Coturnix japonica: one gene and its partners. The protein of the gene in region 4 binds, or shares a complex with, the protein of the main gene of each other region. Links are inferred from orthologs where the notes say so. Each region holds a gene or a part of one and is shown on either strand. Other genes may lie near its edges.

Region 1 (7,712 bases), on a different chromosome or scaffold from region 4:
CTGCTTTGTGTCCCTGGGGAAGGCAGGGCTGCCTCTGCTCCGCCGTGCTGGGATCCCACTCCCCCCTTTCCCTCTGCCCCGTGCTTTGCCACACTCTACCCCCGTGCTCCCACCTTCTCACCCCCGTGTGCTTGCTTCCCTCCCCAGAGACGAGATGCAGATGAGAACATCTTACAGCAAGTCCAACGGGCAGCCCAAGAGCTTGAGCTCAGCCACCCCTGGCTCAGGATCCGTGCCTGTCAGCAGCCCCACACGTGGAGGAGTCAAGAAGGTCTCTGGTGTGGGGGGCACCACGTATGAGATCTCGGTATGAGGGGCAGAGCCGCTCGCCTGCTCACCTCCTGGCTGGGCACCCGCTTGCACCAGAGGGCTCCATGGGCACAGACGCTCTGCAGTCTCCAGCTGAAGACGGGGATGAGGAGATGGGCTGTGGAAGCCCCAGGGGTTTTTTTCCTCCCTCTTTCCACCCCTCCCTGGGACTCAGGCGCTGACTCACACCCCAGGACTGTGTGGGGCAGGGATGCTGCCCTGGCCAGGTGTGGGGTCGTGGGGGGGGACCATGTCCCGCAGCCTCGTGCCCTGCCAGCATTGGCCGGGCAGCCACTTGTGGGCCTTGTGCAATCAATCGCTCGCCTAGCGTGGTAGGAATGGATTGTTTTTAAACCAGAATAACTTTTTTTTATTATTATTGTTACGGATTCTATTTTTTTTCTCTTTCTGAGTTACCAGGTGTGTGTATATATAAATATCTATATATATAAATATAAATATTAAAAAAAAGGAAAAAAAAAAAAGAAAAAAGTAAAAAAAAAAAGAAGCAGAAATTATATATCTTACCCAGAGAGAGGAAGAAACCACCCATTCCCCTTCCCCACATGGGCCACCACCTCACAGGGTCCGTACCCAGGGCCCCTGTGCTCGAGGGATAAGGGGGGGATTCGCTCAGGGGCTCCTGGGGGTCACGGGGTGCCCATGTCACACTGGGGCCTGCGGGATCCTGGACCCTCCTGCTGGGTTCTATCATGCTGTGGACCCCCCTCCCGTGTGCTTGGATCTGGAGCCCCTGTGCCCGGCATCTCCCACTGGCTACAGAGGTGGTGTGAAGCTGGCGATGACCGGGGGAGCTGCTGGTGTGCAGGTGAGGGCTGCAGCCTTTCTGCACCTGCACATTTTGCTCTATATTTTGTTTTTTGGTTTTTTTTAGCATTTCCCCAGGGTTTGTGGTTTTTTTTTCTATTATTTTTTTTTTTTAATGGGTGATCAGGTTTTTTTTGGCTGTCACGTGGTTATTTTTATCTCCATGTGGGGAAGAGGCACATCCCTGTCGAGCAATATTTTCTCATCACATGCCAAAAAACGCAGCCAAGGAGCCCAGTGCTGCCCCGCCACCCCCAGCCCCATTGGGGAGCCCACCCCGCACCGGGCCCACGCAACTTCACGCACTACTTGACTCTTTCTCTATGGCAATATCTCTCCTGTGGCCTCCGCAGAGCCATGCCATTGGTTTTTTGTTTTTTTTTTTATTATTATGATTAGCCATTTTAAAAACGAGGAATAAAAGGATATTTAATGAGTCACCTCAGCGGGCATGCGTGTGCTTTGTGCGGTGTCCAGGGATGGAGGAGTCCGTGAAGGATCCTGTCCTTCACTTCTCAGCTTTCCCTCCCTCGTCTGGAGTGGAAAGGAAGGGGACAAGGAGAGCCGGGCCCAGCCTTACAGGGCTGCCAGTGCCTGCGCCCTCACAGCTGGGATGTGCTTCCTTAGGGCACTTTGGGGCACAGCGCTCTCAGTGCAGGTAAGTGGAGCTGTCAGGGTTGGAACATGTCCCAGGACTCAGTGAGGCTCTGGCTCTTCTGTAGGAGCCCCCACAGGGGCAGCCCTGGGGGACATGGTGCTGAACTGGGGTCACTTGTGTCCTCCTGAGCCTTCTCTCACAGCCCAGAGAGCTGCAAGGCCTGGAGTATGATGGGACAGGCACAAGGCCTCTGCTCCTTGCCCTGCCCCGCTGGCCAACAGTCAGAGCCGCCACTGGCACCAGCTCTTCCTCAGAGCAGACTTTAATTAAAAGGTGAATAAAAAAGTGAGATCCCAATGCACCACGTTGCTTAGGTGTGGTAGGAGCCCCCATTCCAGCAGCGTCCGCGTCACCAGGTCCCCATCAGCCACACAGTGCAAGCAGGGGGGTTGCAAGGCCACGTTCTCTGCAAGCGGGGACCATGAGTGCCCACACCTCCCCGCTGTGCTCTGTGATGGGACGAGTCCACAGCTGGGGCAGGGAGCTCCATAGAGCAGCACAGCGCAGCCTCACCGCAAGCTGCTGCTGCTGCTGGCCTGCGAGCTGCCCACCCCGGGGTGCTCGGGGCTGTGTCGGTTCTGCAGAAGAAGGACAGGCGTGAGGCCTTGTGAAACCCAGTGCCAAGCCCTGCTGGAGGCCTAACGTGTGGTGCTGCCGCGGCCTGGCACGGGGCTGGTGCAGGCAGAGCAGAGCAGCACGCTGCCTCCTAACCTACCTTCTTTTTCTTTTTCTCCTTCTTCTTCCTTTTGCGCTCCGGATCCTCCTCTTTCTTCTTCTTCTTTTTCTTGTGGTCTGAGTCCGAGGGGGTTTCTGCAGGAAGCAGAGGAGGGGTGAGCGGGGCACAGAGTTACCAGGACACATGGGGTGCAGAGTTAGCAGGGCACGGTCCTACCTGGGGGCACAGGGTCCTGCGTGCGGCTCTGCTTGTGCTTGTGCTTGTTCTTCTTCTTGGGCGGCTGGATGTGCATGAGGCGGCACTGCTCCGGCAGCTGCAGGGGCTCATGTCAGCGGACCCCCTCCTTACCCCCATCCCCCCTTCCTCCCCCGGGTGCTCACCGGGCCGGCGTGCAGTCGGAACCCGGTCAGCATGGTGCCGGTGAGCGGCGTGAAGGAGCTGCCGCAGATGGGCGGCTTCTCGATGAGGGAGCGCAGGCTGCTGTTGTCGTGTGAGCCGGGCAGGTCGATCATGCCGGGCAGGTCGGGCAGGAAGTTGCTGAGCTTCTCCTTCACCTTCTTGCCGCAGAACTTGTTGTACGCGTGCTCCAGGCTGTAGTGTGTGATCAGGTTGCTGCTGCCCGTCAGCTCCGTGCCGCCTGCGGACGGACCGGCACCCTCAGCGCCCCGCCCCTCGCCGGACCGCCCGCGCCCATTGGCCCGACGAGCCGTCACTCCGCGCGTCCCGCCCGCTCATTGGCCCCGCGCCCCCCCCCCCTCCCCCGCGGCCCGGCCCGCACCCGGCAGCTCCCGCAGCAGGTAGAAGGGGCCGGTGGCGGCCTTGCGCGCCGCGTCGTCTCCCGGCGGCGGCACGGCGGCTGCTGGAGGCGGAGCGGCCCCCGCTCCCGGCCCCTTGTTGGGCCCGAAGCCCAGCGCGGCGGCGGCGGCGGCGGGAGGCGGCTCGGCCCCGCCGAACAGCGCCGAGAAGTTCTCCATCTTCCCGCCCTGCCCCGCGCGGGGCCGCCCCGCCCCTCGCGGACGTACGTGCAGCTCCGGCCAATGGGAGCGCGGCGGGCGGCCGGAGGACAAGATGGCGGTGCTGGCCCCGCTGCTGGCGCTGCTGTACTCGGTGCCGGGGCTGTGCCGCTGGCTGGCCCGGCCCTACTACCCGCTGTCCGCGCTGCTCGCCACCGCATTCCTGCTCGTCCGCAAGGTCCCGCCGCTGTGCCGCGGGCTGCCCTCACAGCGGGAGGACGGCAACCCCTGCGACTTCGACTGGGTGAGCGGCAGCACCGGGCCGGCCTGTGCCGTGGCCTACTCGGGTATCACCGGCGCTGGGTGCAGCCGAGGCGGCCCCTCTGTGCGCAGCCCCGGCTCCTGATCGAGGGCAGGCGGAGGATGAAGGCTGGAGCGGCCTGGAATGGCTGCTTGGCCTTGTGGTTGTGCTGCAGGGCTGCTCGGTTGTGCCCGAGGTGCTGGCTGTGGCTGTGGCTGTGGCTGTGGCTGTGGCTGTCACGGTGCTCACTGCGTTTCTCTCCTGTGCAGCGGGAGGTGGAGATCCTCATGTTCCTCAGCGCCATCGTCATGATGAAGAACCGGCGCTCCAGTGAGTTGGGGCAGTGCTGGGTTGAGTATAAGCTGCTGATGGGGTGTCTCTGTACTGGAAACAGTTGAGGGATGAGAGTGAAAAGAGACGTGGCCCCATCTCTGATTTCTTCCCTCCTTCCCAGTCACTGTGGAGCAGCACATTGGGAACATCTTCATGTTCAGCAAAGTGGCCAACGCCATCCTCTTCTTCCGTCTTGACATCCGCATGGGCCTGCTCTACCTCACGCTCTGCATCGGTGAGACACGTGGGGAAGTGGGGGGGGATCCGTAATGCAGGGGCTGTAACAGTGCTCCTGTCAGGCCTTGTCTCTGCCCATCCTGTGCATTGCCTTCCTCAAATGGGGCTGGAGCCATCTTGCCTTGTGCTGCTGCTGTCTTTGTAGCCATACAGGCTGCTCTGGGGAAGGAGGAGCCTCCCTCAGACTAAGCCTGTGTCTCTTGGGCATTCCAGAAGTGGAAAAAAGGGGGCAGAGGCCTCGCTCCAGGTGGGCGCTGGGCTCAGGGATGCTGTTATTGCAGTGTTCCTGATGACCTGCAAGCCACCCCTTTACATGGGACCTGAGTATATCAAGTACTTCAACGATAAGACCATAGATGTGAGTATCTCCTACCCAGTGTGAGTTGGCGTGGGGTGCCGGGCTCCCTGCCTACCATCCCCTGTTGACTCGCGTGGCAGGAGGAGCTGGAACGAGACAAGCGGGTGACCTGGATCGTCGAGTTCTTCGCCAACTGGTCCAGTGAGTGCCAGTCCTTTGCCCCCATCTTCGCTGACCTCTCTCTCAAGTGAGTGCTGCCTGCTTTTGAGGCCTTGCTGAGTCGGTCCCAGCCCAGTGCTCACTCAGAGCTGTGTTCTGTCTCCCAGGTACAACTGCTCGGGGCTGCACTTTGGGAAGGTGGATGTTGGCCGATACACGGATGTCAGCACCAGGTCTGTGGGGCCGAGAGGGTAGAGGAAGGTACCAGGCCTTCCAAGTGCCTTGATGTCATTGTCTGCCTCTTGCCTTACTCCTGCAGGTACAAGGTGAGCACCTCGCCCCTCACCAAGCAGCTGCCCACCCTCATCCTCTTCCAGGGAGGGACAGAGATCATGCGTCGCCCACAGATTGACAAGAAGGGCCGGGCCGTTTCCTGGACCTTCTCTGAGGTACATAAGGGGCAGGAGGATGTTCCAGCCCATGCCCTGAGGATGGGATGTGCTCAGCGGCTCTGAGGAGCTGTGAATAGTGGGTGTTAGCAGGTCACTGCTGGTGCTAATGCTGTGCTTTGACTGCAGGAGAACGTGATCAGGGAGTTCAACCTGAACGAGCTGTACCAGAAGGCCAAGAAGCAGTCAAAACCACGGGATGAAGGCAGCGAGGAGCCGCCCGAGGGGCAAGGAGCGGCCAGCCTTGCCAACGGGGAGACTAAGAAGGAGAAGTAGGAGCTGCTGTGTTCTCACCCATCACCACTCCGCTGTCCCCTGGGGACCATGCAGTGCCGGCTGGTAGCCCTGCACGTAGCGCTGAGCCCGGGGCCACTGCTCGCTGTGCCCGCGCTGAGGGCCCCGTGCCATCCCCCGGCCCCGCCGGTGTCCGGTCTGGGTCCAGCCGGTTCCCGTTAGTGGTCCAGCCGGTATAGCCGTGCTGCGGGTCGCGCCGTCCTTATGCTGACAATAAACCTGCTGTGCGCGTCCCCGTGTCCGCTCCGTGCTCGTGCTCGCGGGGGGCGTGGCTGCGTGCAGCGTTCCGTGCGCTGATTGGCTGCCTCAGCGCAGCTCGGTGGCGGGAGGTGGTGGCGCGCCGGCGGGAGCTGTGATGGCTCCTCGTGGTCGGAAGCGCGGCGTGCGGCGCCCCGCACAGCCGGGGAATGAGGCCGACCCTGCCGAGAAGCGGCCCCGCACTGATGCTCAGGGCGATACTGACGGCGCTGCCGGGGACGCCGTTGGGCCCCGCGTGGTCATCGAGCACTGGTAGGTTAAACCCCCCGCCCCTCTCAGTGCCGAGGCCGCGGGCCCGTCTCAGTGCCGCCTCCCGCAGCCGTAGCTGACGCGTGTACGGGCGCAACGCGTTGGCGCTGAGCGAGGCGCTGCGCGGGGCCGTGTCCGCCCTGGCCGTGGAGATCAACCCGCGGCAGCCCCGCAGGAACAGCTTCGAGGTGTCCCTGGTGAAGGAGGACGGCAGCAGTGAGTACGGGGCCGGGAGGAGCTGGGGGGGGTGTGTATCCCGACCGCCCTGACCCGCGTCCGTATCCTTCCGTAGCCGTGCAGCTGTGGAGCGGCATCGGGAAGGGGCCGCCCCGCAAGCTGAAGTTCCCCGAGCCCGAGGTCGTGGTGGAGGCGCTGCGGAGCAGCCTGGCCTAGAGGCGGCACGACGAGAACGGCGTCGCGGAGGGAGCGCTCATGAAGAGGCGGCACCAAGGGAGGGCACCGCCCCCAGTATCGCCTCCGACTCCGAAGCTCCCCCGCAGAAACGCCGGAGCTCAGCGGCCCCGGCCGGCACCCAGCAGCGTTACCCCAATAAAGTTCCGCGGCTCCGTCACATGGCGTTAGTGCTTTATTTCAGCGTCACCCGACACACGGACACCGCGCTCTTTCGGTCTCACGGGCAGGCGGTAGCGGCTCCTTAACCGACTACATCCACCTCCCCACCGGACTCGGACTCGGGGCTGGGACAGACGCACACGGTGCCGGGGGGCAGACAGGGCTCCGCCATCCCCACATCCACCTCCTCCTCCAGCTCGTCTTCCGTCAGCCCGCCCGCAGCCGGCGGCGGCCACGGCTCCGTTCCCGTCCGGGCCTCCACTGCGACGGGCTCGAGGGAGAGCTGCCCGTCCCGCACCACCTCCCAGCCGCGCCGCCCTTCCATCCTCCTCAGCTTCAGCCGCCCCACGGCGTGGGCCGGACCCGCGGTCTCCGCAGGGAGCGGCCGTTCCCGAGGGGCGTCCGTCAGCGGGACGGTGCCGGACCCGGTGCCGCTCAGACAGCTGCGGTCGAGCTGCCAGCGGGGCCCGGGCCGCAGCACTCCGTCCTCCCACAGCTGCAGCGACTCGAGCGCGGCCACGCGGAGCCGGCGGGCGGCGGCCAGCACGTCCCGCAGCTCGTCCCGGGACGCGTCCAGCTCGGCAGTGTACAGGAACCGCAGCACCGTGCGCAGCGTGGCCATCTTCAGCCCGTCCAGATCCAGCACCACGGGGCGACCCGCGGGGGGCAGCTGCCGGGCCAGGCGCTCCATGAACAACGGGCTCCACGCCGCCAGCACGCAGCAGTGCGCGGCCACCACCTGCCCTGCAAGGAGTGCACGGTGCCGGCACTACTCGGGGACGGCACGGGATCCCCGGGAGGTTGGGGGCACACCGAGAGAGCCACCCGCTCACCTTCTGCCCGCAGCAGCACGTCGCAGAACACGTCTGCCCGCTGCTGCTGCTGGTGCAGGCGCAGGAAGGCGGAGCGGAGCAGCCGGGAGCTGCGGTACTGCAGCCGGGGGGCGGCTGGATGCGGGCAGCACGACGGCATCGCGACGGGGACCGACACCGCGGCTCCCGGCTGCACTCGGCCGGCAGGGGGCACCGCTGCGATGGCCGAGGTGAGGCAGTGGCCGTGCGGCAGCGCCCAATGCGGCCTGCTCTCCACCGGGCCCGGGCTGTCGGACGGACACCTCGCCGCCTACCTGCCCGCCTG
Region 2 (6,809 bases), on a different chromosome or scaffold from region 4:
AACTGACCCAGGCAGCAACAAGACAGACATTACTACATGACCATTACTGTGTGACCAGATTCCTGTTGATCTCAATTTAAATACCTATTTTCAATTGGAATGGAAGGAGATCTCAGCTCCATTGGATTCATTGGATACATAGGAGGGGAAATTCCACATCTACTCAATAGAGCGCTGCCAGAACTACATGTTTTCTCAAAACCACTTTAAGAAGCCAGAGATGAGGCTTTCAAATATTTAAGATTGCACTTTCTAAAGAACCCGAGTTATTGGCTCACAATGGCTTTATTTATAAATCAGCAATTATGTGCACTTAAAAGAATGAAAGTAACTAATGGAAAGGTATGTTCAATGGAGTAGTTGCTCTATGGCATTGGCAGTTTTGATACGTACACCTCCGGCTTTGACTCGCTTCAGAAACAGCCCTCATCATTTTTTTAGTGATTACAGTATTAAATTAATTATCATTTAACTGCACTGGAGAGGGAAGGGGATCATGTGGGAAACTGGCAGCTTTTGCAATTGGAGAGCTTCATGGGGAATGTTATGGCCCAGGTAACAGAATGGGGCTGTATCACGATTTAGGCAGCTGATTCACTTACCTGTATGAACAACACAAAGCGCCACACCAGCCCCAGCCCTTGGAACTTAAGCAACCACTTAAGGAACAAAACACCAAAAGAAAACCCAACATAAAACTGGGACGTACACTTTGAAGCTGCAGTTTTAGGAGCACTTCTCCACTTCAAAAGGGGAAAACCCTCCGTAAGACCAAAACGTGCTGCTCCATCAAGGTGAGTGAACAGACAGACCCCGTTATTAACCATTAATCAAAACCTGCTACTGCTGATTGCACTCAAGTTAAGTTGAAGAAATGACTGAAAGTTTCATCATCAATTGTACAACTGCTTTATACAAAACAAAAAAGGCGCCGCTATTGTATATACATCATTCAAGGAGACTTTATAAGAAAAAAAAAATTCTCAGGCAGGTATTTTGCATTTACAAAACCATAATCTTCATTAACATGATACGTTTTGTAAATACAAGTGATTTCTTCCTTGTAGAGGATTAACAGTGGGTGCAAAAAATGGATCTTAACTTGCTCCTGTACAGGTTTAACCAGCTCGACGGACAGCGTTAAGACCCAGGACATGATTACAGCAACAGACTCACGTGAGCACTTCAGGAGTTAAGCTTTCAATCTAGCAGTCAGAAGATGAGGAACCAAGGAAAAGCAGATGCAGTTGCTCTTCAGCACCCGTAGGGGCTATTTTAGAGCACCATCAGACATTTGGCGGCTGCGAGAAGAAAGGAAGGAAACTACAGAGGGAAAAAAATGGTGAAGGAGGAGAGGTTTAACCAAAGTCCCATGATTTAGTCAGGAACAAGTCAGGCCCTTCCTCAGGGAGGGCTGTCACCTCCCAACAGGCTGAGCCGCCTTAAACACAAAGTCTGAAAAGGGGCTGTGGGGATGGCCATACACTGAAACTTGGAACCTTCACCACAGTGCCAAAAATACATGAAAAAGGAAAACGTTTGGGGCATTTTGTTGTTGTTTTTTGAGGGGTTGGGATTTTTATTTTTAAGGGTTTTTTTTTTTTTTTAGTCCTCCTCCACCCCCCACCCCACCTAAGGGAATAAAATCTGAATACCAGAATTCACTGAGAATCTATATACATCACATCTTAGTTAAACACACACCAATCTTAAAGTCAAGATTGACTGCTTTTGCATTTGTAAAATGGTTAGAGCTGGGCTAAATTTCAGCCTAACGGGACACTTTGGGCAACATTTGTGTTCTGTGCCTTCCACTTTAGGTTTGTGTTTTATCACAAGCAGGAGAAAATAATGCGCTCAACACAGTGCCAAGAATATCCAGCAACAACAATGCACAATAGATATTCTTGTAATAATTAAACTAGGATACTGGAAGTAGATCTGAGAATCTAGCCACAGCCCTGAACCATAACACAAACTTCAGTTGAAGAGTTTATTCGTTTTATTCTCGCTACAAGTTAAACCACCTACAATATCACTGATATATTGCCATTGTTACTCTGTAAAGGTGTGATATAAAATGCTGTAAGACCCGGTACCTTTTCAATTTATATAAACACAGTGAACTTCATTACTGTACATGTACTCTGCAACTACAGCTTAGCTGTAAATCCCCCACACACAATGGTATGGACATTAACCCCTCTATACCCATTAAACTGTACATCAAGACAATACAAATTTACTGTCCCCGCCCACCCCCTTACAAAAAAATAATACTCTAAAAGCAACCTACTGCAACTTTTAATTAAGACGATTACATATATTTTAGACCAATTGCTTTAAAGCAAGAAGGCAGTATAAACCTTCTAGGAAAATTTTTATAAAAGAGGTTAAGAAATATAAGACAATTTATACATTTAAAAACTTACAATAAATAAGAGATGCAGGCATTTTTGAATACTAGGTACTATAATCCAATACAAGAACATCTTGATGTTCCGAAGCCATAGGTTGAAACTCATTGTTCCTCACGTTTCTTCTCATCTCCATGCCTTTAATATTCATTAACTGTGACTGGGTACTATGGCTCATTACTCTTCACAAATACTGTGACCGGGGAAAAATGGTTAATTTTGCTACTAAAAATGTTATAATACACTTTCTGATCATCATTCTAAAGCATCCCCCATAGTCAACGACTCCAAGACAGCAGGTGATAAGTACCCCCTCTCACAAGTCAAACCAATATTTGCTGGAAGTAACAAGATTCATACCCCATCACAAACAACTCGCACTGAGAAGAATCATAACTTAGTCCTGCAGTGAAATATCCTTTTTCCTCATTTTTGTCTTGCAAAATTCAGGTGAAGATCACAGCATATTCATGATAAAGTTATACAACTGATTCAGCACCACAAAATGAATCGGGAGACATGACCGTCTGTCCTGGGTTGCAGGATCACAGGTTAGCCAGGAGAGTGCATTGTACTGTTCCAGAACAAACCTGAAAAGCAAACAAGCTTCCATCAAGCCAACAGATTTTCCTCAGCAGCATTTTACAGCACCGGCTTAACGTAACATGGTTGCTGTGGTATTCAGCACATAAAACAGGTCTGCCAATGTTTTGCAGTAACACAACTATAGAATCGTTGCGAGCAGATTAAAGCTGAACTTCAGTAGAAAATACTGTAGTATTTTAAGCAATAATCTAATCAAATCTAATCAATAATTAACCCAATCCTAGTTGACAATGATAATTAATGCTAAGAGATTCACATACTAATGTGAACATATATATGAATGTGAACATATATATGTGAATACTAACACAACCATGACGCTGCTTTCTCATTAACAAGTGTCTTATGTGTACACAACTACCTGCATGCCCTTGGACTTCAGTATTCCCACAGCTTACATGAGATTCTGGCTCAAGTCTAACCACCCTCCTCCCATTTATGCACTATTTTTTAATGAATTTCACGTTTTTTTCAAATATTTTTAGTTGTAATCAATCTTAATTAGTTAAATCAGAGTTCAGATATTTGTATTAAACCGCAGCGTCTTGTGGTGAGGAAGTCTTTTCATCCCTCAGTGCACAGCAATGTGTTTTGTTTGCTATGTATGAAGGGCAGTGACACAATGAGAAAACTAATGGCAAGGAAAACAAACCTCCAGATCCCCTGCAGTAGTATTAAAAAAAGAAATGCACAGCTGTTTTTGCAAGCAATAGATCATAAATACCTGAGCACATCAGAAGTTTGATTAGAATCAAGTGGATGGGAGTGTTTACTGTGGAGTAGCTCGTCTGATTGCACTGAAGGCACGTGGAGGTGCAAAGAGGCCTGAGGAAGGAGGAGAGATGTGAGCAGTCAGCGTCTGATTCAACTGCAACTTCCTTCCCCTTGTTCCGCTGACCCAAATATCGCAGCCACTTCACTTAGTTCTCTAACACATGAGTTAAATAAAGCTTATCCTTATGCAGCTCATAAGTGCAGGAATCCTTTCTCCTAAAAGCACAATGCTAACAGTGCAATACACCTAAGGAAACTGTTTTAAAACTACTTCTGTGCCTACATTAAATGATGATTAAAAAAGGAGGCAAACTCCAGTGACAAGATTTCTAATAATAAACAGGCTTTAAAGTTCACTGCTGTCCCCATAAGGTCAGACTATTACATACTGAAGGTGCTCAGGGTAAATAAATCCTCTGTTCAATAAAAATGCCAGTGCAGCCCCACTGGAGGTACGGTACCTTAAGAAACAAGGGACACTGATTTTGTGCTTGAGGACACGCTGACCAGAACCAGTCAGGCAAGGGACCTGCTTTGGCAGTTGACACAAAATAACCAAGGGCCAGTGGCTGTTGCAGTATATTTGTTACTTCATCGTGAGATTCCGTTGAAAGCAATCGATCTGTACCTTGACCCTATAAAAAAATTAACAGGCAATGGTTTACTATTAGGAGACCACAAAGATACAAGAAATTACCCACAGCTTTAAAATTACAAAGCGTTTTTGAAGGATCCGAGCATTACATGGATTTTACAGTGGCAATCCAATATCTGATTAATTCAAAATAGTTCATAGGAACCTTTCATTCCAGAAAGGAAATAACCAGATGTCAGAGAGCAAACAACCACACACACATATACACGAACACATACACACCCCTCTATATTTACTCTATCAGTTACCTTGCCCATATCACCTCCATGGGGGTAGTGGGACCCTGGAGAATGTACAGGGGATCCAGTAGGGGATGCAGGAAGTATATTTATAATATCGGGATCAAGATCGTCTCCAGTGTCTAACAAGTCAAAGATGCCCATTCCATCTGCTCCATCTTGAAAAAGAACAACAACACGTGATTTCAGAATGTGCTGTTCCCATAAGTAGGGAAGCAGTAGAAATTAAGTGATTTGCCATATAAATGCTGTGGTTTAGTAGAATAAAGTCTTATTCCTGCTACAGGGGGAGCAATGAAGGGTTTCGGGTTGGTTTGTTTTTGAAACAGGAATAAATCCAATCTGCTCACCATTGTTTGTGTTGAAGGCCAGATCCAGGTTCTCAGTGGTATAAGTTGACGATGCCACTTGCACAGAAGCAGATGTGGGAAACACAAGTATGTGAGTGCACGATGTGTCCTGTGGGGTGTTCAGCTGAGATGTCTGCATGTTTAAAGTGGTGCTGCGTCCGAACACAGAGCCGGTAGATACAGAATCTTTGGAAGAAAAACATTTCCTTAGTTTTGTACAAAACAAACAATTAATTCCCCTGCCAAAATAGCGTTTCTCACATACCTGGCATAATAATGAAGGACCCCTGCGGTTCCATTGCTACCAAACAAGCACTGAGAATGCTGGGAGAGTCTGCAGCAGAGATACCACACATTCTGCACATGTCTTTCAGCCTCTTACTGAGGGACTGAAGGTTTCGGCGACTCAACAAACAACTCCAGTCTGAGGATACAAAGGACATAGATTTGTCTAGAAGAACAACACTTGCTGAAGAATGCTTATTCTATGTATGACATAGTATTTGTGAGTTAACTTAGAGCTCCTTCATATGCTTCACCCAGGTTTTCTTCCAGAAAGAGATTGACACTATACTATTTAAAAAGAAAGCTTCAAATCGACTTTTAGACACTGAAGCACAAACGTTACCTTTTAATTCCCCATGTCCTATTCTTCCTAAGCGGCCTATTACGACTCTCCAAGGCAAAGAGCTCATCTGCACGAGTCCCAGGCACCATTCCCAGAGTTTCTGAAGCCCCAGCCTGCGGGCAGAGCCCTTTTTCCTGCGAGCTCTAGAATTAAAACAGAAGAGAAAACAAAACTGGAATCCATCTGTGACAAACTTCTATTGCCACCTTTGGAACTTGTTTGTACCAACCTGAATGTTCACAGGACACAAGGATTGGTTTGCTTTTCATTCATCACATTGTAACACTAACATCAAAAGCCAGAGGAAGGGGTGGAAGGGGAAATCACACAAACCAAAGCACTCTCCAATCACAGGAGGCCATAGGACATTCCTTCTAGAAATTTAACTCAATATCCACATCATATTGAAATTATCCACTTGGTTTAAATTTGCAGCACAGTGGGTCAACAAAAGCAAGAGATATTCTCACATCATCTTGATAAAAATGATTCTTTGAAAGAAAGAATATATACATGTTAAAAATCAAAAGGAGTTTGGTACTTACCTGTTCGGTACATCTATATTAATTATGCACGTCTCTAACTGTTCTCCATAGAGATCTGTACAGGATGCAAGAAGCCATCTTTGATCATGAGACAAACAGTAGCCGACAAAAAGCACGTTATATTTCTGACCAGCTTCTCCAAAGGTTTCTCCAAGCTCTGTTTGCTTGTCCTTGACAGGAGCCAATATAAAAGGAGGGGTGTACAGTCGAATACACTCAGGTCTCTATAAGGACAACAGAACAGAAAATGAAGTTTCAAGTAGAGATTACTATTAAGAACTCTGTTCAGTTCAAGTAAAAGACACCAATGATTTAATAAAAAGGGACATTTCTCTCATCTGCACATTAACAGAACCACATTAATCATAAGAATACTCACATCAGGGCTCTTAAGAGCTGTTTCCATGGCTAAGCCGGGGCCAAAGCCAGTTAATGTTTTCACATTGGTGGAAGATGGAAGAGGTCTCCGACACTGAGTAAACGCTGAAAACGCTAAAGACTTCAAATGCTGAGTATAAATCTGCCGGTCTTCGTGTTTCACAGGCTGCAGAAGGTACTGACACGGAACGATCTACAACAGGTCACACAGGGAAAT
Region 3 (8,698 bases), on a different chromosome or scaffold from region 4:
GTGGAGAGTGGCAGCGGTGCACACAAGCAGGAAGAAACAAGCAGCACATTCTGGTTTATGCGTTGGATGTTAGGAATATACCGATTTCCCACTTAAATATACATATGTATTGAAATTGCTTAGCGCAGCTCATGTGCTCCAGAGCAATTGTTCATTAAGGGCTTCGTGCTAACGAGGATGGTGTTCCACTGAAGGGAGCCGTGGGGGGTTCGTGCTGCCCAGCTCAGCTCTGCTGCTTGTGCTGAAGCGCTCAGGGAAGGTGCAGAGTTCACACACAGAGCAATTAACACAAGAGACCAGAGCGGCTCTGGAGGTTTCAATCCCCACAATAGGGAGGGGAAAAAAAACCCAACCACCCCCAGAGCCCCAACCCAAAGCACTGATGGAACATTCAGGGTGAAAACCACAGCGGCGCTGCACCAAAGTTCTCACAGAACTCTCAGCATTGAGCTCCCAGGCAGCAAGTCCTTCACAGCACAACAAGCTCAAAGCTGTTACTATGGGACTCACCTTTTTCTCCCATTTAATCTCAATGGCGTTACGGGTGAGATTTCTCAAACCACTGATCTCAGCATCTCTCTGTTCCTTTCTATCGAGCAGCTTGAAGACAGAAGCCCTGAGTTCTGCTCTGACTCAGGGCAGCTCCAGAAACCTTCACTACTTCCTCAAACCAAAAGTGCACGTGAAAGAATTTGTGTCTGCACATCTTGTGCGACAGAAGCCGAATCCTCAAGCAGTTCCATCTCCAGCTGATCTGAATGTGAAGCTCCTCTGATGGTGAGAACACAGCTACGCTAAACTTCGTGACTCCTAGCAGAGGTCCTAAGACATAAATTGATATCAAAGCAGAGGGGAGAGGAGGACAGAGGGGGAAGGACTCAGCACTACCGAAAGAAGCCCTGAAGCTGATTAAAATAAGACCTTACAAGATGGATTCTGTAACACGGCGCTTCTGCCACCACCGAAGTACTTGTAGCTCCTCTGTAAGTGCTGAGAACCAACCAACCATTTAAAGGAAGCAGCCAGCAACGAAGTGCATTTTAGCAAGGAAGGAAGCAAAGTCAGCGGCCAGACACGGCCAGGGAAGGACAACAAGCAAGTTATGGACCCCAAACGTGAGATGACGAGGAGCTGCAGCAGGAGCCGCTCCGAGCTGCCACCCCCGAGCGGCACCAACGGCCCCGGCTGAGCGGGACTTTGTTCTCCCGGGAGCTGCTGAGCACATCGCGGGGCTCAGCCCGGCGTGTCGGCAGCTCCGCAACCGCTGCAACGACCTTTAACTCTAAAGCAACGACGTGTGGATGCGCAACAGCTGAATAAAGCCCCGATTACAACGCGCTGCTGCTGGATAAAGAGCATCAACTGGGAACAAACACAACTTGTGCAACAGCAAAAGGCCCCGAACGCGGCGCTGTCAGAACCGCCCTCACACGAAGGGACACGCGGGGAAACGAGTGTCCGAGCGCTGCGGTACCGGCAACAGCGCAGCGAGCCCGGCCCAGGGCCCGGAACCGACCCGACCCGACGGGCAGCAGCTCCGAGGCGGGGAACGGAGCCTCAGCGGGACCGAACTGAGCCGGGATCTTGGCGGCCCCGACCCCGCGGGCCCAGCGAGACGGCCGGCAACACGAGGCAACGCCGCCCCCCTACACCCCATATCCCCCATATCTCCCATATCCCCACATCCCCCCATACACCCCTCACCCCCCCCACTCTCTCCCCGGGCCCCCACACACAAAGTTCTTCTGTTCCCGTTCCTGTCCGCTCTAGTTCCCCCCCTGTCACACCAAAAGGCCTCTCGCCCCCCGGCCGGTTCCTGCCCTCATTCCCGGTTCCCCACAGCAGGTAACCCCCCCCCGTTGCCCCCCCCGCCGTGTTCCGGCCCGTCCCGCAGTTCCCGCCCCCCGCAGCGCATCGGGCACCGTGTGTGGGTCGGACCCTCCCACAGCCCCGTGGTTCCCCCCCCCCCCCCCCCCTCCCTTTATTTACCGCCATCACCGACACGAGCTGTCACCGCCGGGAGACCCCGCCGCGCCGCGGGACACGCCCCCTCCCCGCCCATTGGCCGCCCGCCGCGCCCCGCCCCTCACCGCCATTGGTCGGAGGGCGCGCCACACAACGCGCTCGCCCCGCCCCCCTCCCCGTTCCCCATTCACTTCCACCGCCTACGCCAATTCCGTAACCGTCTCTGGAGCTAACGGCGCTAAAGGCGCTCGAGTGGACGCTGTTTGCGTAGCTAGCGCCGTAGTAATCGGAGGTCTGGCGGAGCTTACGAGCTTTGCGCAGCCGCTAGGGGGCGCTCCTGAACGGCTCACGGTTGCGTAGCGGGAGGCAGCGTTAAGGGGCGGGGAGCGGCTGGGCCCGGCCCCGGGCGGTGACGTAGCGGGCTTTGTGAATCCCGGCTGAAGTTGAGGGTCAATAGGGATGGAGCAGACAAAGGGATCTTAAAGGGGCAGCGCGGCGATAACGGGGCCATGGGGGGGGGGGGGGGGGGGGGGGGGGGCAGTGAGGTCTGCAGGGATCCCAGCATGTTTTACATCTTTAAGACCAACCTTAGGGAATGAGTAAAGCGTCACAATGTTCAGCGTCACTAAAATGGTCATTGAAAGGAAACTCTTTGTTTTTAACCTTATTAAAAAGTGAAACAACTGAAATCGCGACCCAACCAAATCCAGGGTTTGTTTTTACAGCCACAGCCCGAAACCAGCACCTGGAAACCAACAGGCACAGTGCAGTCAATGCACATGGACCCCACCGGGAGCTGCAGGAACTCGGCACACGATTCCTCGTGCAGTTCCCTCATGGTGATGCTGCCATTGATGACGGCTCAGCAACCGGCTCCTCCCAGAGCTGCTGACATCACAGTTATTCAGTGCCTTGTTCTGGCTGCAGAGCTGCTCTTTGGACGGACCCCGACCTGCAGCTGCTGCACATTGAGCTCCACGAGTCCCTTCACCTGATCCCTGCTACCGGCACCTGCTGCTGCTTGCGGATCTTGTTGAACAGCTCCATGTACTGAACCATCGTGTCCGCGGGGCTGTAGACGCTGTCGTGTTTGGTGCCAAACACAGTCGGGATGCCGGGAGTGTGGCTGCCCATGAAGCTCTGCATGAACTCCATCAGCAGGTTCCAGCAGTCGTTGGCGATCACACAGGGGCAATACTCCACCTGGCAACAAAAAACAGCCCTAAATGAGATATGCATCAAGAGTTTGAAGCCAGCAAACACCTCCTCTGTACTGCACTGCAGAGGGATAACAGTGCTTTTCAATTGAGAACATTGAGCACATAACAGCAGAAGGACAAACATGTGAACAGGACACACAGGGAATGTGCAAACCAGCTCCTCAAAAGAGAAGAACAAGAAAGGGAAATTTCCCCTTTAGGTTCATCCGTCATTTTAAACCCCCAGCAGTGGAAATCCAACGACAAACTTCTCTCCCAAGAGTCGCTGTTAACAGCCTGTGTGGCCACGACATCTCTCAGATGTGTGATGATAAAGCCTTGGGATTTAAGGACTTGCGGTTCCAGACCAGGGATTATGTACTAATGGACACCCAGAAAACAACCTACTAAACCAAAGCAGAAGCAGCCGGACTGCCAGGAAAATCTGGTCCTGGACTCAAGCTTAGGGTAAAACAAGCTTCTCTTTAACCCCAGCTCAGCAGCAGCTCGCACCACTACATCTGTGTTTATTCTTATGAAGCAAAACCAAGGCATTTCTCAATCCCATCCCTGTTAGCTCGGAACACCTGCCTGGGTAGATGCGCCATCATTATTAATTACAGACCAGTTAATAGGATTTGTGTGTTTAGGGAAACACATGCTCAGATTTTACAAGACCTTTCAGCACCTCATCTCAGATCTGGGGCAGCACTGACAGCACAGAGCTCTGTGACCAGGAGAAAGCAGCTTTAGAGCCAAAGCTGCAGCAGGAGGGCATTGAATGCATTAATACAACCTGCCAGCAACGAGTAACACAGATGATACATGGAAGGGATGGGGACTCAAGGTTTCTAGCCAAGCCTCCAACATGGGATTTCCCTGCCCTGGATTTCATACCCTTAAAGGTGATTCTCACCTCCACGGATATCCCGCGGGCGCTGGGGCCCATGGTGACGGTTCCCACCTTGACCAGGAAGTCGCAGTACTGGTACCGCGTGCCCCGGCTCTCGATCTTGTTTGCCTTGGCGTTCTGGAAGAATCCCTTCAGCTTCACCATCAACGTGTCGAAGTTGGCGTCCGCGATCAGGCAGGGCCCGTTTTCAAACAGAGCGAAGCAGCTGAGGGGATACTCGGAGTTGTGCATCACGTACATCAGTTTGCCCGTCTGCCCTGAAAGAAAAGCAGCGTTTGGCCCGTTCCTTTGACACCCACCCTTTAAACATTCGTATGGGTTGATAAGCGCCCCCAGCCCCTCTCAGCCTTCTCCTCTCCATGCTGACCAGCCCAGCAGATGCCCCATGTCCGCACTACACCCGCCCCCCCCGGGTTCCCACCTTGGCTGCTGATGGCGGCTGCCGTGTGATACGTCTCACAGTCCACCCCGAACGCTCCGTGTTTCTCGGCTCCCAGCAGCTCCAGCTTCTTGCTCAGCAGCTCCACGGTTTGCTGCACGCTCTTACCCTCCAACACGGGCACCTGCGTCACGCTGCGGGGCGACAAACAGCAAAAATGGCCGCGGGGCCTCCACAAAACCCAAACCCAAACCCAGCCCCAACCCCATCACCCCATCACCCCATCCATCACCCCATCCATCACCCCATCCATCACCCCATCCCCACCGGCCCCTCACCAGGTCACCCCCATGGCTCCGTCCCGGCAGTGGCGGTGCCGGTACCGGAAGGGGCGGGGCTGGCCGTGCTGGCGCCGGCGCGTCTGATCGCGTGTCGCTGTTGCGGCCATGCCGAAGGCGGCGCGTGTGGCGGAGCCGCTGCACGAGCAGATCCTGCGGGCTGCGGCCCCCACGGTGCGGAACCGGCGGGCGCGGGACGCGGGGCGCGATGCGGAGGAACGGGACGGCGGATACGTGGGGCCGCGGTTGTCCCGGCGCATCCTGCGGGAGGCCCGGAGGCAGCAGGAGGAGCTGGAGGCCGAGCACGGCCCCGGGGCGCCCGCACCGACAGCCCCGAGCGGGCGCGGGTCGGAGGAGGACGATGAGGACGAGGAGTGGCCGTCACTGCAGCGGGCGGCGGAGTGGGACGGGACGGGCGGCGGGGGGGACGTGCAGGTGGATCCCGAGGACGAGAAGGCCCTGGAGATGTTCATGAACCGCGCGGCGCCGCTCAGGTACCGGAGGAGGGGTGGGAATGGGCGGGGGGTGGACGGGGAGCTCCGGTTCCCCATCACCGACCCCTGCCGCCCCCCCAGGCGGACGCTGGCGGATGTGATCATGGAGAAGATCACGGAGAAGCAGACGGAGGTGCAGACGGCGCTGTCCGAGCTGTCGGGCCGCCCCATGCCCCAGCTCGACCCCCGCGTGATAGAGGTGTACAGAGGCGTCAGAGAGGTGAGGGCACTGCGGCCCCCCCGGCCCCACACACACCTTTGTGGGACCCCCCAGCTCCCGGCGGAGCAGTGCAGACAGCACTGCTGTGTCCCTCGGGTGTTGTGAGCACATACGTGCTGTGTGAGCACACGCAGTGGAGCTGCACAGGGAGCAGACAGGTTGCTTACAGCCTTGAGACAAACCCTTCCCCCTCTGCTTCCATTGAAGGTGCTGTCCAAATACAGGAGTGGGAAGCTCCCCAAGGCATTTAAAATCATTCCTGCCCTGTCCAACTGGGAGCAGATCCTCTACATCACGGAGCCCGAGACGTGGACGGCAGCAGCGATGTACCAGGCCACGAGGTGGGACCAGCTCAGTGTGCTCTGAGCTGTTGTTTTCTCCTTGTAATGGAACGAGATGGACAAAATACCATCGTGTGTCCTACAGCTGCTCCTCCTGCCCTGTGCCTGTGGAGCAGAGGGGATCCTGATGCTGGGGGTGGATGGCTCTGGAGTCACAGCTCACTCTTCATGCTTTGCATTTCACAGGATATTTTCATCCAACCTGAAGGAGAGGATGGCCCAGAGGTTCTACAACCTGGTGCTGCTGCCACGGGTCAGAGATGATATCGCTGAGTATAAGCGCCTCAACTTCCACCTCTACATGGCTTTGAAGAAGGCTCTGTTCAAGCCAGGAGCCTGGTTCAAAGGTAGGGGCTCCCTGCAGGGCTGCACTCCACCCCTGGGAACCTGCTGCAGGGCAGGGCAGGGGGAGGAAGGTGGAAAGGTGCCCATGATGCAGAGATGTTATTTCCTTGGGTTAAATGTGCCCTGAGAGAGCAGAGATTGAGCCTCACACCCCACAGCTCTGCCTGCTGCAATGACCAGTGGTGCCCAGCTCTTCTCTCCCCACAGGGATCCTCATCCCCCTGTGTGAATCGGGGACCTGCACACTGCGGGAGGCCATTATCATCGGCAGCATCCTCACCAAGTGCTCCATCCCTGTCCTGCACTCCAGGTAATGCACTGGGGCAGTCACTGCCCCTCAGCCCATCCAACAGCTCAGAGTGGGGGAGCTTTGCTCAGGGCTGATTCAAAGCCGTCCTTTTTGTGCCCTGCCCTCACCTGCTGCTCCCCTTGTCCCCACAGTGCAGCCATGCTGAAGATTGCTGAGATGCCATATAACGGTGCCAACAGTATCTTCCTGCGGCTGCTCATCGACAAGAAGTACGCGCTGCCGTTCCGTGTGGTGGATGCCCTGGTCTTCCATTTCTTGGCCTTCCGCACAGACCAGCGCACGCTGCCCGTGCTGTGGCACCAGAGCTTCCTGGCTCTTGCCCAGCGCTACAAGGAGGACCTGTCCTCGGAGCAGAAGGAAGCTCTGCTCGAGCTGCTCAAGTTCCACAGCCACCCACAGATCTCAGCCGAGATCCGCAGGGAGCTGGTGAACTCCAAGACACGGGACGTGGAGGGGCAGGAGCCGGCAGTGATGGAGTGAGGGGAGGAAGGAAGGAAGCACCACAGCCTGGCCTGGCTCCTGGGGGCTGCTGCACAGCTGGGAGCAGCACGTCCAGGGGTCTGGGAGCATCCAGCCCTGGGATCCCACTGCTCATGGTGCTGTAACCACGGGGCTGGGCTGGGCTCCCTGCGCTGCTTGTGTCAGGGCAGCCCTACAGCCCTGGCACCCAGGACAGCAGTAGGGCTTGTCCTGCTCCTGTTCTGGAAAATAAAGCCCGTGCTGGGTCCTTCCTGGAGCAGCTCTGACCTGCAGTTGCATCTTTGTGTGGCTGCATCCGTGCATCGTCCTGCCCTGTCCCCCTCCCCTCGTCCTGTCCCCAGCAGGGGGCAGAGCAAAGCCACCAACAGCGGCTCCTTGCAGCACTGCGCTGCAGCTGTCCCGGCTGCAAAAGGAGACCAGGGGCTGTGCAACTCCCTGCCCTCCTTGTGCTCTGGTCAGCAGCGAGCACGTTCCCAACTGTGCTGTGCATTAAGCAGCCTCTGTGATGTTGGGCAGAGGGGCTGGGGTTAAACATCTTCCTGTGAGAGGTGGGGGCAAGGGGCAAGGCCATAACCCACACGTGGCAGCTGCCTTGAAGTGCCACCTCTGCTGTAAAATCCAGCGGGGCATCGCACAAGGCTCCGCGCTTACCTGGGTGCTCACCTGGACACTACAGCTCCTGCAGATGTCCAGCTCCTGTCCTTGCTCCTGGAAGCATCACGGCCCATGGGGAGCAGTCCCTGAAGCTTCGTGTAGTGCTGAGCACCTCCTGGCTCCGTGTCTCCCCGTGGAGCAGAGCAGCACCTGGGGCTGCTCACACACTGCAGCCATTTTTTTTTAATCTTGGCTTCCTGGTTCATATTTCCTTTCTTTAAAAAAGCCAGAAGCTGATAAGAAGAGAGATCGGCCGAGCTGCCAGCAAACACGCAATGCAACGCGCTCACCTTCCTGCTGCACAGCCCCGTCTGTGCAGGGAACAGCAGCAAAGGGAAAGCCCTGACACCGCCGTGCTCCTTTAAAATACTTTATTGCAACATTACACGGTACTCCAACTTTCCCAGCAGCAGGACTTGCATGTGAACACCACAACAGATTACTCTTAAATTAAAACTCACTCATATATATATATATAAAAAAATCTGTTTGTACAGACGCTCCTCGCAATTCATCGGCGGTGAGAGCACAGCAGCCCCAGCTTTTTCCACCTGATAAACTTGTTTCTGGTGGCACCCAGAGCAGGTTCCCCCCCAGGAGCAGTTCAGCAGCTGCTCTGTGTGCAGGGACACCCCCAGCAGCGGCTCTCTGGCTATTCCTGGTTAATATGAGTCTACAATGTATTGGTTCTCTCTTAGGAAAGCAGCATTATAGAATGGTTTTTTTTTTTCTTTAAAAAACACTTTTTTTTTTTTTTTTCCTTTTTTTCTGTAAAATGAACAGACAGGATCAACAAGAACAACAAAATGCCATCATCACTTTGTCACTTTGCCATCACTTTTCAGCTCAAGTGCGCAGCGAGTTTTCTACCCTGTGAGGACACAACTCGAGCCATTCGGGTACTGATGCAGAACAGCCCCCCCGACACGATGTGATCCCTGCCTTGGAGGAGTGAAGATGCATTTCAGACCATAGCAGCACATTCAGTGATTTTTTTTCTTTTTTTCTTTTTTCTCTAAATCTAAACTGACATCTGAGCTACCTGCAGCCAACCAGCTTC
Region 4 (8,336 bases):
GCATGGAAGAAGTTATAGGGTAGTTGGCTATGAGAGAAAAACTGCAGCACACAGGAATGCATACAAAGCACTGTAAAAACACCAGCTGTGCACACACGAAAACTATGCACTTCCTGTAATCCTCCTACTGTTGTAGGATTGACGGTCTTAGCATTCAGAGACAAACATTTTAGCTTAAGTATGTTGAGTGCTTCAGATACGCAGCTGCAGGAGGTCACCAGTAGTCTCTTGCTCACCCAATGGAGACTTTTTTTTTGCCTTGATCCTGAACACTAAAAAGTAATTCTAAAATAAGGACTGAATAACCATAACTAGGCCAACAATGCCTTTGACTGTAGGAAAAGTCCTCATGGGTATGATTCTGACTCCAGATCAGCGTGGCAGTACTGCAAGGTAACCTTCACATTCCTCGTTTCCAAGATCAGGGAGATGATTTTGATGAGAAATCTACAGGCACTCCAAATACCTACAAAGTTTCACTTTGACTTTCTTCCAATGCTATTTCCATAGCACTGTCATTAACTTGCTGCCACGTATATCTTTGGCTACCAAGCAAGATCTTCCAAAGGATTCAAGAGTATTAAAAACTGCATCAGATGTGTACTTGGTTTCATGGTTCGTTTTCCTGGTAACAAGCATTTTCATTCAATAATGCATCCTACAGCCTGTTCCATAGTCATTAAGCTTCTTTTCCACACATTTTTTTTAAGCACTTTGTTATCATCCTGGAAAAGGTAGCTGTTTTCATTAGTCCTTCCCCTAAACACTTACTGGTTCTGCTCTCCTCAGCACTCATTTCTTATTATTAGACCCCACAAAGTTCTCTTACAAACTCCTTAGCTGTTCCTTCTTCACACTTACAACAGCATTCCTCTATTTGCCACTCCACCCACAGGGTCTCACAGCACAGATCTTTATTTAGCTGAGAAACCCCATCTACCTCCTCACCTGTGGTTTGGGTTCATACTGTTGCTGGAGCATCTCTGCCACTTTGTTCTCAAAGGCACACAGCTGTGTGTAAACTTGGTGCAGAAAGGCTTCTCTCTTTGTTTCATCCAGCTGACAGCCCTGGAACAGTACCTGGCACAAGGACACACACATCAGCCAAAGAGTTTTATACTATCAACCCCCTATAACACAGTTCAGACACGTCCCTTACAAAGCAGAGCACAGGCCCCTTGTCACTATTCCTGCATGGGGCCAAACAGCCTGTATGCAACAGAATTTCATGGCATCTGCAGTGAACTCTGCAGCAGATGCTCTAGGAAATTTTCCTCTTGGATGAAAAAATTTCTACTCTTTTGCCCTCATCTAGGAAAAAATAACATGGGATCCTTATGAGAAGGCATTAACTCTGGTCTGACATTTCTAAAGAAGATCCGTTTCTTCTAACTCACCTACTGGATGATCCATTTATCTTCTAGTAAGTGGTTGTACAGTGGAGTAAAATGTTGAAAATCAGGAGTTAGAAAGGAGTTAGACTGGACATTACAAAAGAGGCTCAGTGATACAACAGAAGATCCACAGAAGCTCCCCATGCTGACTGGCACAAAGATTCTATTTATGGTACTGTGACAGAGGCAACCTCTGCCAAAACCAGGTATTGCAGAATAAGGAGGCAAAGAGGATACAACACCAGGGAAGTGAAAATAACATGAAAATGCCGTAAGATGGAAGGGAATGACACAATAACAAACTTCAAAAACCTCGCAGGCATGATAGACCAAACCTCAATGTATTAAAAAGACCTGCCCTGGCTCAAGTAAATGAGAGATTATTGGGGGCTGCCCTCTCCACTAGGGGAAGCACATTTCTAAGCAACGCTAAAAAGGAACAAAGGTTGCAGGAAGAGGAAATTATGACTGAATAAACCACAGCTACACAGCTGAAGCAGGCAGACAAGCTTTTGGACACCTCTTATTGAATGTTTCAAATTACAACAGGCCAAAAGAATTAGTCAACAGAAATTAAAATAAAACAAACAAACAGAGCAACACCAACAAAAACACAGAGTAGTCACGAGCATAAAGACTCAGTGTGCTCTGAGAAGCACATGTGGCAGTGATCTCCAAAGGGCCCTGCTCTACTGTGAGAAACCTTTGCTTCCTCTCAGAAGAGAGAATTTGATCACCTCTGCTTCTCTATTGCACCAGGCTGCATGTTTTAAAGAAGCAAGATTGCAACACCCCAGAGCCCAGCTAACAGACATCCCTACTTTCCTCTGGGCTCATAGGAAACCAACGCAGACAGCTGCTGACGCAATGAGATGCCGAGGGCAAGGCCAAGTTTTACCTGGTGGGATTGCAGGCCAATGATGGAGGAGTACGCCTGGATGGTGACAAAGATCTCGGGCTGATAAATAATGTCTGAACCAGGGATTCGGAAGGGCCTTAACAATCCCACTAAGCATCGGGAAAGAGCATGAAACACTTCATCAAAAATGATCTCTCCTGTTGAGTCATCCTACAGAAACAGAAGAGGAGAATTATAGAATCATTATAGCTAAGATTACCTTGTCCAACCATCAACCCATTCCCACCACACCCACTAACTGCACCTCACATCTCCACAGCTTTTGAACACCTCCTCAGTCCTTCTGACCACACTAGTTCTGATACAAGCCAGGATGCCTTCTTGGAGACCTGGGCACACTGCTGGCCCATGTTCAGCCAGCTGTCAGCTAACACTCCTAGATCCTCTCCCTCCATAAAGCTCTCAGCCACAGCCCCTAAATCAGCAGCACTGCATGGGGTAAACAAAACAGCTTTTACATCTTCTGGAATCTGCAATCTCATTGCACCCACCACACAGAGACAAGTACAAGCCTATTTCTGCAACAGCAGCTGCCTCAGAACGACCCCTGCAAGCAGAGGTCACACATTCTGCAAGGAAACAGGATCCACTGCAAGGCTGTGTTGCCAGCAGCAGTGCCTGCTTCAGCCCTCAGGAACACAGGACCCCTGCAGGAGTGACCACTAATGCAGGGACACACATGTTCTCAGCAGAGGGAACCAAGCCTGGTCCTTTAACACAAAACACCCCAGAGAGGCAGCTCCTGGACTCACCACGATGCCAGTGGAAGGGCTCAGATCGAGCTCAATGACAAAGCGGTACTGGCGGGCCAGGAACGTAACGCGCGTGGAGGGCACCAAGAGGTAGGGCCGGGGCTGGACGGGCTCATCCGGCTGCCATCCGTTGGGCAGGATGCTGAGCACATCCAGCTCGTTTTCTGACTTCAACTACAACAAGAAGCGAACGACAAGCATGAAACATTACTCCAAGCCAAAGGACACGCCGAGATGCAGGGCCACCATCCACCCTGCAGCACCCCCGGCCCCCACTCACCAGCTCGGGCTCGGGCACAGCCCAGATGACCTGGTGCAGCCGGCTGAGCACCCAGGCGAGCCGCACGTTGCGGGAGATGCGATAGTCCTTCTTCATCAACAGGAAGACGTGCCCAGCCTCCTCCACCTGCAGCAGAAGCACAGCGCCTCGTCACTCCAGGCCGGGCACCACCACAACCCCCGACCTCTCTACACAGTTCCCGGTCTCAAAGCCGCAAACAACCCCGCCTCCCCTCGCCCCGCAGCGCGTTACCCCTCACCTCAGCCTCGGGCCTCTCGGCAGCCGCCATGTTTGCCCGGCGGCCCCGCCCCGCGCCCTCTGACCTGACTCGGAAGTGGAAGGCTGCCATAACAACAGGGCCGCGCAGCCATGCAGGTGAGGGGCTGTATGGGGTTGAGCAGGGCTGTATTGGGCTGGGCTGGGCTGGGCTGGGCTGGGCTGGGCTGGGCTAGGCTAGGCTAGGCTAGGCTAGGCTAGAGGGAGCAGTAGGCCCGTATGGGGTTCCGCTGTGCCCCGTGGGCCGGGCTTTGGAGGAGTAAAGCAGTGTGCCCAGTTGTTCGAGAAGGTCTATGGTATCTTGGCTCGTGGAGGCTCAGTGTATCCTATAGGAGCGGGGTGGTGGGCGTCCCTCTGTGCTGACATTGGTTGAGGCCGCATCTCGAGTGCTGCGTTCTGTTCTGGGCCCCTTAAGCAAGAAGGGCATTGAGACCTGAGCGTGTCCAGAGATTGCGACAGGGAAAGTGAGGGGTGGAGGCATTACAGAGAGCAGCTGGGGGAGCTGGGATGGTTCAGTCTGGATAAAAGGAGGCTCAGAGGGACCCCATGACTCCCTTAAACTCTCCAAATATTTACAATGGGGTGGAGGTCGGCCTCCTCTCCCAGGTAACAGTGACAGGATCCCTTGCTTTCCTAATAAATCCCATTATTACTTTGATTTCCTCGACTTCTTGAGCCTCAGGCTGATGTTTCCCTGGGTTACCCTCGGATAATCCTCAGATCTTGTTTGTGAGTGATAATGTTATCAGCTCAGAGAATGTCATTGTGTGTGTGTAAAGTCAGGGTTGTTTATTTCTCTTTGTTTCATTGTGTGTATTGCTTTATGTTTATTCTGAATTTCACCTTTACCTCCCAGTCATTCATTATCAGGAGTTCCTTCAGCAGTCTCTCCCGTAAATCCTATTTTATTACCCTGGGACAATTCAGTATTGTTAACAGACTCCTTGAATTGCTGCTTGTATATGTCTGTGAGAGGCAGAGTATTTCTTTGAATCATTGATCTTGGTGCACGTGTGCTTTGCGGTGCTTAAACTTACTTCCAGCTCTCATGGAGAGAGCACACAAAAGGAGGAGGCTCAGACTGCACTGTCACACAGTGTAGTGTGATTTCATTCACAATCTTTAGGGCTTCTTGGATACGCGCTGGCAATGGGCCACACCAGTTGTCTTGGTTGTGTGTACCTGCCACCTCTGCAGTGAGATACTGGCTCCCAGCCCAACTCGTAGTGCTGTCAGTGGTTCATCTTGCTCAAACACAACGTGCACAGTCAGCGTTAGACTTGTTTCTTAAGTGCACAGGAACAGACTAGTCCCATCACAGGATGGCGGAGAGCTGCAGTGCTGTAGCTGTGAGTTGTAACCCCGTGGTTTGCTCTGTTAATCCATGCTGTGGATTGGAAGTGGATTTTAGCCACATTTATTTTGCCATTTCTTCTAAGGTAGTGAAGTCTTATCAGCAGTCTATGGAAAAAAAAACAAAACCTTTATAGTCTTGTCAGACCGTGAGTAGAATAATTTCATGTTCTCTTAAATGTGGAAGATACTTGATGATCTCATGCTAGTTTCAGTTTGTTTAAACAGCACAAGGATCCCAATAGTGAGCGTGCAAGCAGACTGAGTCACCCCATCTGCTTTCCCAATCAGCATTCCCTTTCTATTATTTAACTGTATTGCTGTGTCTCACCCTCCTCGTGGATTATTGTTGTACAGTCCTTGACTTACATTAGCAGTCCATTAGGATTGGGGCTTTAATTACATTTTGTGCAATTCTGTTGAATGAGTAAGAATAGATAAGGTTCTAGAGGGTTTTCGCAAGAGTCGGAGATATTCTGTGCTATATGTGACAACAGGTCTCCTCTCCTATTGCTTTGTATGTCACCATACTCCTCTCAGCTAGGGGAGAAGATTATTTAAGCAGTGCACCAAGGCAAAAGGCAGCAGGTGATCTCTGCATGTGTCTAACTACGTCACTGACACTGCAGCGCCTTCCACAGCTGGTAAGGGACAAGGAATTTTTAGGAGCTGGATGCAGCACCTGGACAGGAAGAAAGTGAGAGATGAGGGTAAGGGCAGAAACTGGAGTCTTTGGGCCACTGATCTGATACTTGTTTTGCAAATGGCTGTGCTGGGTGAAGACATCACTGTGCCTGCTGTCAAAGGGTGCTGAGAATGCTAATCTGCTTTCAGCTGGGTTAGCATGAATAACTCACGGAGGTGGTGCAAGGTAACTTTGATGACTTTGCCTGATGCAAGTGATGTATAGGCTTTACTTATCTAGATCTTAAAAATGACAGCTAGCCATGGGTTGGCTCAGGTACGAGTCTCTTCCTAAATGTTTCTTACAAGGAGACAAGATAAGTGTGAAAATGTAGGATTTTTATCTACGTGGTCTCTGTTTCCTTGCCTTGAAGAGGAGTCTCTCCATAGGAGAGGGTGGAATATGGTTGCAGATGTATGGATCCCCACAGTCCTTGGAAAGGTACAAAGCTTTGTCCTCACCCCTATCTTTCATTCTTTTTTTCAGAGAGAGGAGAAGCAGCTGGAGCTGACCCTGGAGGCACTCATCAGCCAGGTGGCTGACCTGAAGAACTCATTGGTCAGTTTTATCTACAAGCTGGAGAATGAGTACGATCGACTCACATGGTAAGGCATCCCACAGAGACAGGGCACTGTCACTGATCGCTGCTGAAGCTCTTCTAGACTCTGCCCAAAAAGTGTAATTAAAAGCCACTAACTTGCTCTCCACAGGCTTACCTTCACTTTTCATGTTAACGTTGGTGAAACTACTGAGTATCTCCCACCCGAAAAACAGTTGAAATTCATTTCTTCTTCACTGTGCAGTAGTAATCATACCAATACCCTTGAACCTGGGTGCTTTATGGGAACTGGTGTAGTTGTTTTCATTTGCAGTGACTGGAAACTCTTTGGACAAAAATATCTTAGTGACCCACTTATGCTGTGAAATGAGCAATCATTCTGCATTTCTCAATCTTTTATCTGGTTCTGTTATAAAGTTGTGTTCCTGTGCTCGCATTTTGCTGGTTTGGCATGCTTTCTCAGACAATTTGAGAGGCTTGAAAGGTGGTATTCTCTTCCTGGTGGACTGGAAGGATGATGTATCTACAGCTGAATAAACTCTGAGGTGTCTTAGACAGTTTCTGCTGCAAAGATTCACAGACAGCATCTGTAGGTGGTGAAGTCCCCAGAGAGAGCAAACTGAAGGGGATCTTCTTGATAAGTTTGTCCATTATTTTGCCTCATTATCACTTTGTCTTGATAACCAAGCTATAAAACCTGTCTCTTGTCTGTACTGCTTAGGAGTGAGTATGTGTTTCAAGACCTTGCTTGAGAATTTCACTGGGAGAGTTATTGATAAGAAAAGCATTGCTCCTGTGTGTGTTGCAGGAATCCCAAACAACTGCCACTTCCAATGCTACTTGTAAAGTCCCTGGGCTATTTACAGCATTGTACGTCGAATCTTGAATCTGTCCACACCTACACGTTCAGCTCTAGGTTTTATTCCTTATTGTTTGGGTAAATAATAATGTTATTTCCTCGGTTCCCAGATATTTGAATGAGGAACAGATAAAAGCCATCTGTGTTGTCTATTTCCATGTTCTGTTCTCTTTCCTTTCTCAGGCCTTCAGTTCTGGACAGCTTCGCATTGCTCTCAGGACAGCTGAACACTTTAAATAAAGTGCTAAAGCATGAGAAGACCCCGCTATTGCGAAACCAGGTTATCATCCCCTTAGTGCTGTCTCCAGACCGTGATGAGGAAATCATGGTAAGAAACTTCCTGCTGAGTATTGGACCTGGAGTGTCACAGCGTACCTGCAGTTTAGACTTCCTTATGCTCCCCAGGCCAAGGTTTTCCCATAGCATCCCAGTAGGTCTTGCTCCAGTGTCATGGCCTGTGCTCTGCTCTTCAGCTGTCTGAGGGCTTAGCTGGAGGAGGGGGCCCTGAGTGTGTGTTGTCCAACTGTTGTAGCGACAGACAGAGGGTCGTGTACCGGTCTTCAGCCACGAGGTCGTGCCTGACCATCTGCGAACTAAGCCTGACCCAGAGGTGGAGGAGCAGGAGAAGCAACTGATCACAGATGCAGCTCGAATTAGCCCTGATGGAGCACAGGTAGGTGAAGAAGAGTTTAATACTTCTGTCACTTGGTCCTAGGGCTCACGATGCCCTTTAACTCAGTTTTCATCGAGCTTATAGCTAAGTTTTCTTTGTTGGTATGCCCTGAGGTTTCTTTAGATAGCCCTACCTGATGTTTGGGTTACAAATCTCACATGACAAGGGTATCCAGCTTAGTACCTGCTCACAGGAGGTGCTATCAGACCAGTCAAAGAAAGGCAAAAGCTGTACACCCTGGTAGTGCCCTCCTGCATGCATTGGAACTGGGCTGTCTGGGCTCTGCTACCAAAATGTTTATTTGATTGCACTGAAAAGAAAAAGATGGTTCATTTGCTGTTCTGACTTGTATCGCATTAGAAGTATCCTGGTAGTTACTGATGATTTTTGTTTTGCAGAAACAGATCCAAAGTCTAAATAAAATGTGCTCAAATCTGCTGGAGAAAATCAGTAAGGAGGAACGCGAATCTGAAAGCGGAGGTATGTCACTGAGGTGGAAATTGAGTATGTGGTCAAAGCAGCTGGCTTGAGAACAGTGGGAAAATAGGTAAAACAGAGAGCCTAAAGAATGGAAAACGAGGATAAG

What was found.
Region 1: MED8 (region 4) and MED19 share a complex: the UniProt entries of both Homo sapiens proteins name them as parts of the mediator complex. The link is inferred for Coturnix japonica from reciprocal best matches to the Homo sapiens genes MED8 and MED19.
Region 2: MED8 (region 4) and MED13 share a complex: the UniProt entries of both Homo sapiens proteins name them as parts of the mediator complex. The link is inferred for Coturnix japonica from reciprocal best matches to the Homo sapiens genes MED8 and MED13.
Region 3: MED8 (region 4) and MED20 share a complex: the UniProt entries of both Homo sapiens proteins name them as parts of the mediator complex. The link is inferred for Coturnix japonica from reciprocal best matches to the Homo sapiens genes MED8 and MED20.

The regions. Positions count from the first base shown.
Region 1 is NC_029520.1:7,804,030-7,811,741, forward strand, and holds MED19 (mediator of RNA polymerase II transcription subunit 19), read right to left. Parts: upstream 3,469-7,712; 5' UTR 3,446-3,468; coding exon 3,250-3,445; intron 3,109-3,249; coding exon 2,852-3,108; intron 2,785-2,851; coding exon 2,688-2,784; intron 2,606-2,687; coding exon 2,511-2,605; intron 2,374-2,510; coding exon 2,305-2,373; 3' UTR 2,040-2,304; downstream 1-2,039. Other genes in the region: palmitoyltransferase ZDHHC5, read left to right, coding at 148-313; TMX2 (thioredoxin-related transmembrane protein 2), read left to right, coding at 3,540-3,728, 3,995-4,055, 4,180-4,293, 4,577-4,653, 4,734-4,840, 4,920-4,985, 5,072-5,201, 5,331-5,477; BTBD18 (BTB/POZ domain-containing protein 18), read right to left, coding at 6,658-7,319, 7,409-7,547. UniProt on the Homo sapiens protein: Component of the Mediator complex, a coactivator involved in the regulated transcription of nearly all RNA polymerase II-dependent genes.
Region 2 is NC_029534.1:6,213,531-6,220,339, reverse strand, and holds the end of MED13 (mediator of RNA polymerase II transcription subunit 13), read right to left. Parts: intron 6,786-6,809; coding exon 6,594-6,785; intron 6,439-6,593; coding exon 6,215-6,438; intron 5,813-6,214; coding exon 5,670-5,812; intron 5,466-5,669; coding exon 5,307-5,465; intron 5,228-5,306; coding exon 5,042-5,227; intron 4,850-5,041; coding exon 4,701-4,849; intron 4,433-4,700; coding exon 4,259-4,432; intron 3,849-4,258; coding exon 3,748-3,848; intron 3,008-3,747; coding exon 2,875-3,007; 3' UTR 894-2,874; downstream 1-893. UniProt on the Homo sapiens protein: Component of the Mediator complex, a coactivator involved in the regulated transcription of nearly all RNA polymerase II-dependent genes.
Region 3 is NC_029541.1:4,732,154-4,740,851, forward strand, and holds MED20 (mediator of RNA polymerase II transcription subunit 20), read right to left. Parts: upstream 4,905-8,698; coding exon 4,795-4,904; intron 4,651-4,794; coding exon 4,499-4,650; intron 4,335-4,498; coding exon 4,081-4,334; intron 3,169-4,080; coding exon 2,971-3,168; intron 2,166-2,970; coding exon 1,995-2,165; downstream 1-1,994. Other genes in the region: BYSL (bystin), read left to right, coding at 4,903-5,288, 5,370-5,508, 5,716-5,849, 6,036-6,196, 6,402-6,504, 6,636-6,984. UniProt on the Homo sapiens protein: Component of the Mediator complex, a coactivator involved in the regulated transcription of nearly all RNA polymerase II-dependent genes.
Region 4 is NC_029523.1:17,386,783-17,395,118, reverse strand, and holds the start of MED8 (mediator of RNA polymerase II transcription subunit 8), read left to right. Parts: upstream 1-3,634; 5' UTR 3,635-3,714; coding exon 3,715-3,720; intron 3,721-5,660; exon of another isoform or gene 5,661-5,678; coding exon of another isoform or gene 5,679-5,684; intron 5,685-6,145; coding exon 6,146-6,264; intron 6,265-7,260; coding exon 7,261-7,405; intron 7,406-7,609; coding exon 7,610-7,750; intron 7,751-8,148; coding exon 8,149-8,230; intron 8,231-8,336. Other genes in the region: KICSTOR complex protein SZT2, read right to left, coding at 949-1,080, 2,293-2,463, 3,066-3,239, 3,346-3,471, 3,605-3,634. UniProt on the Homo sapiens protein: Component of the Mediator complex, a coactivator involved in the regulated transcription of nearly all RNA polymerase II-dependent genes.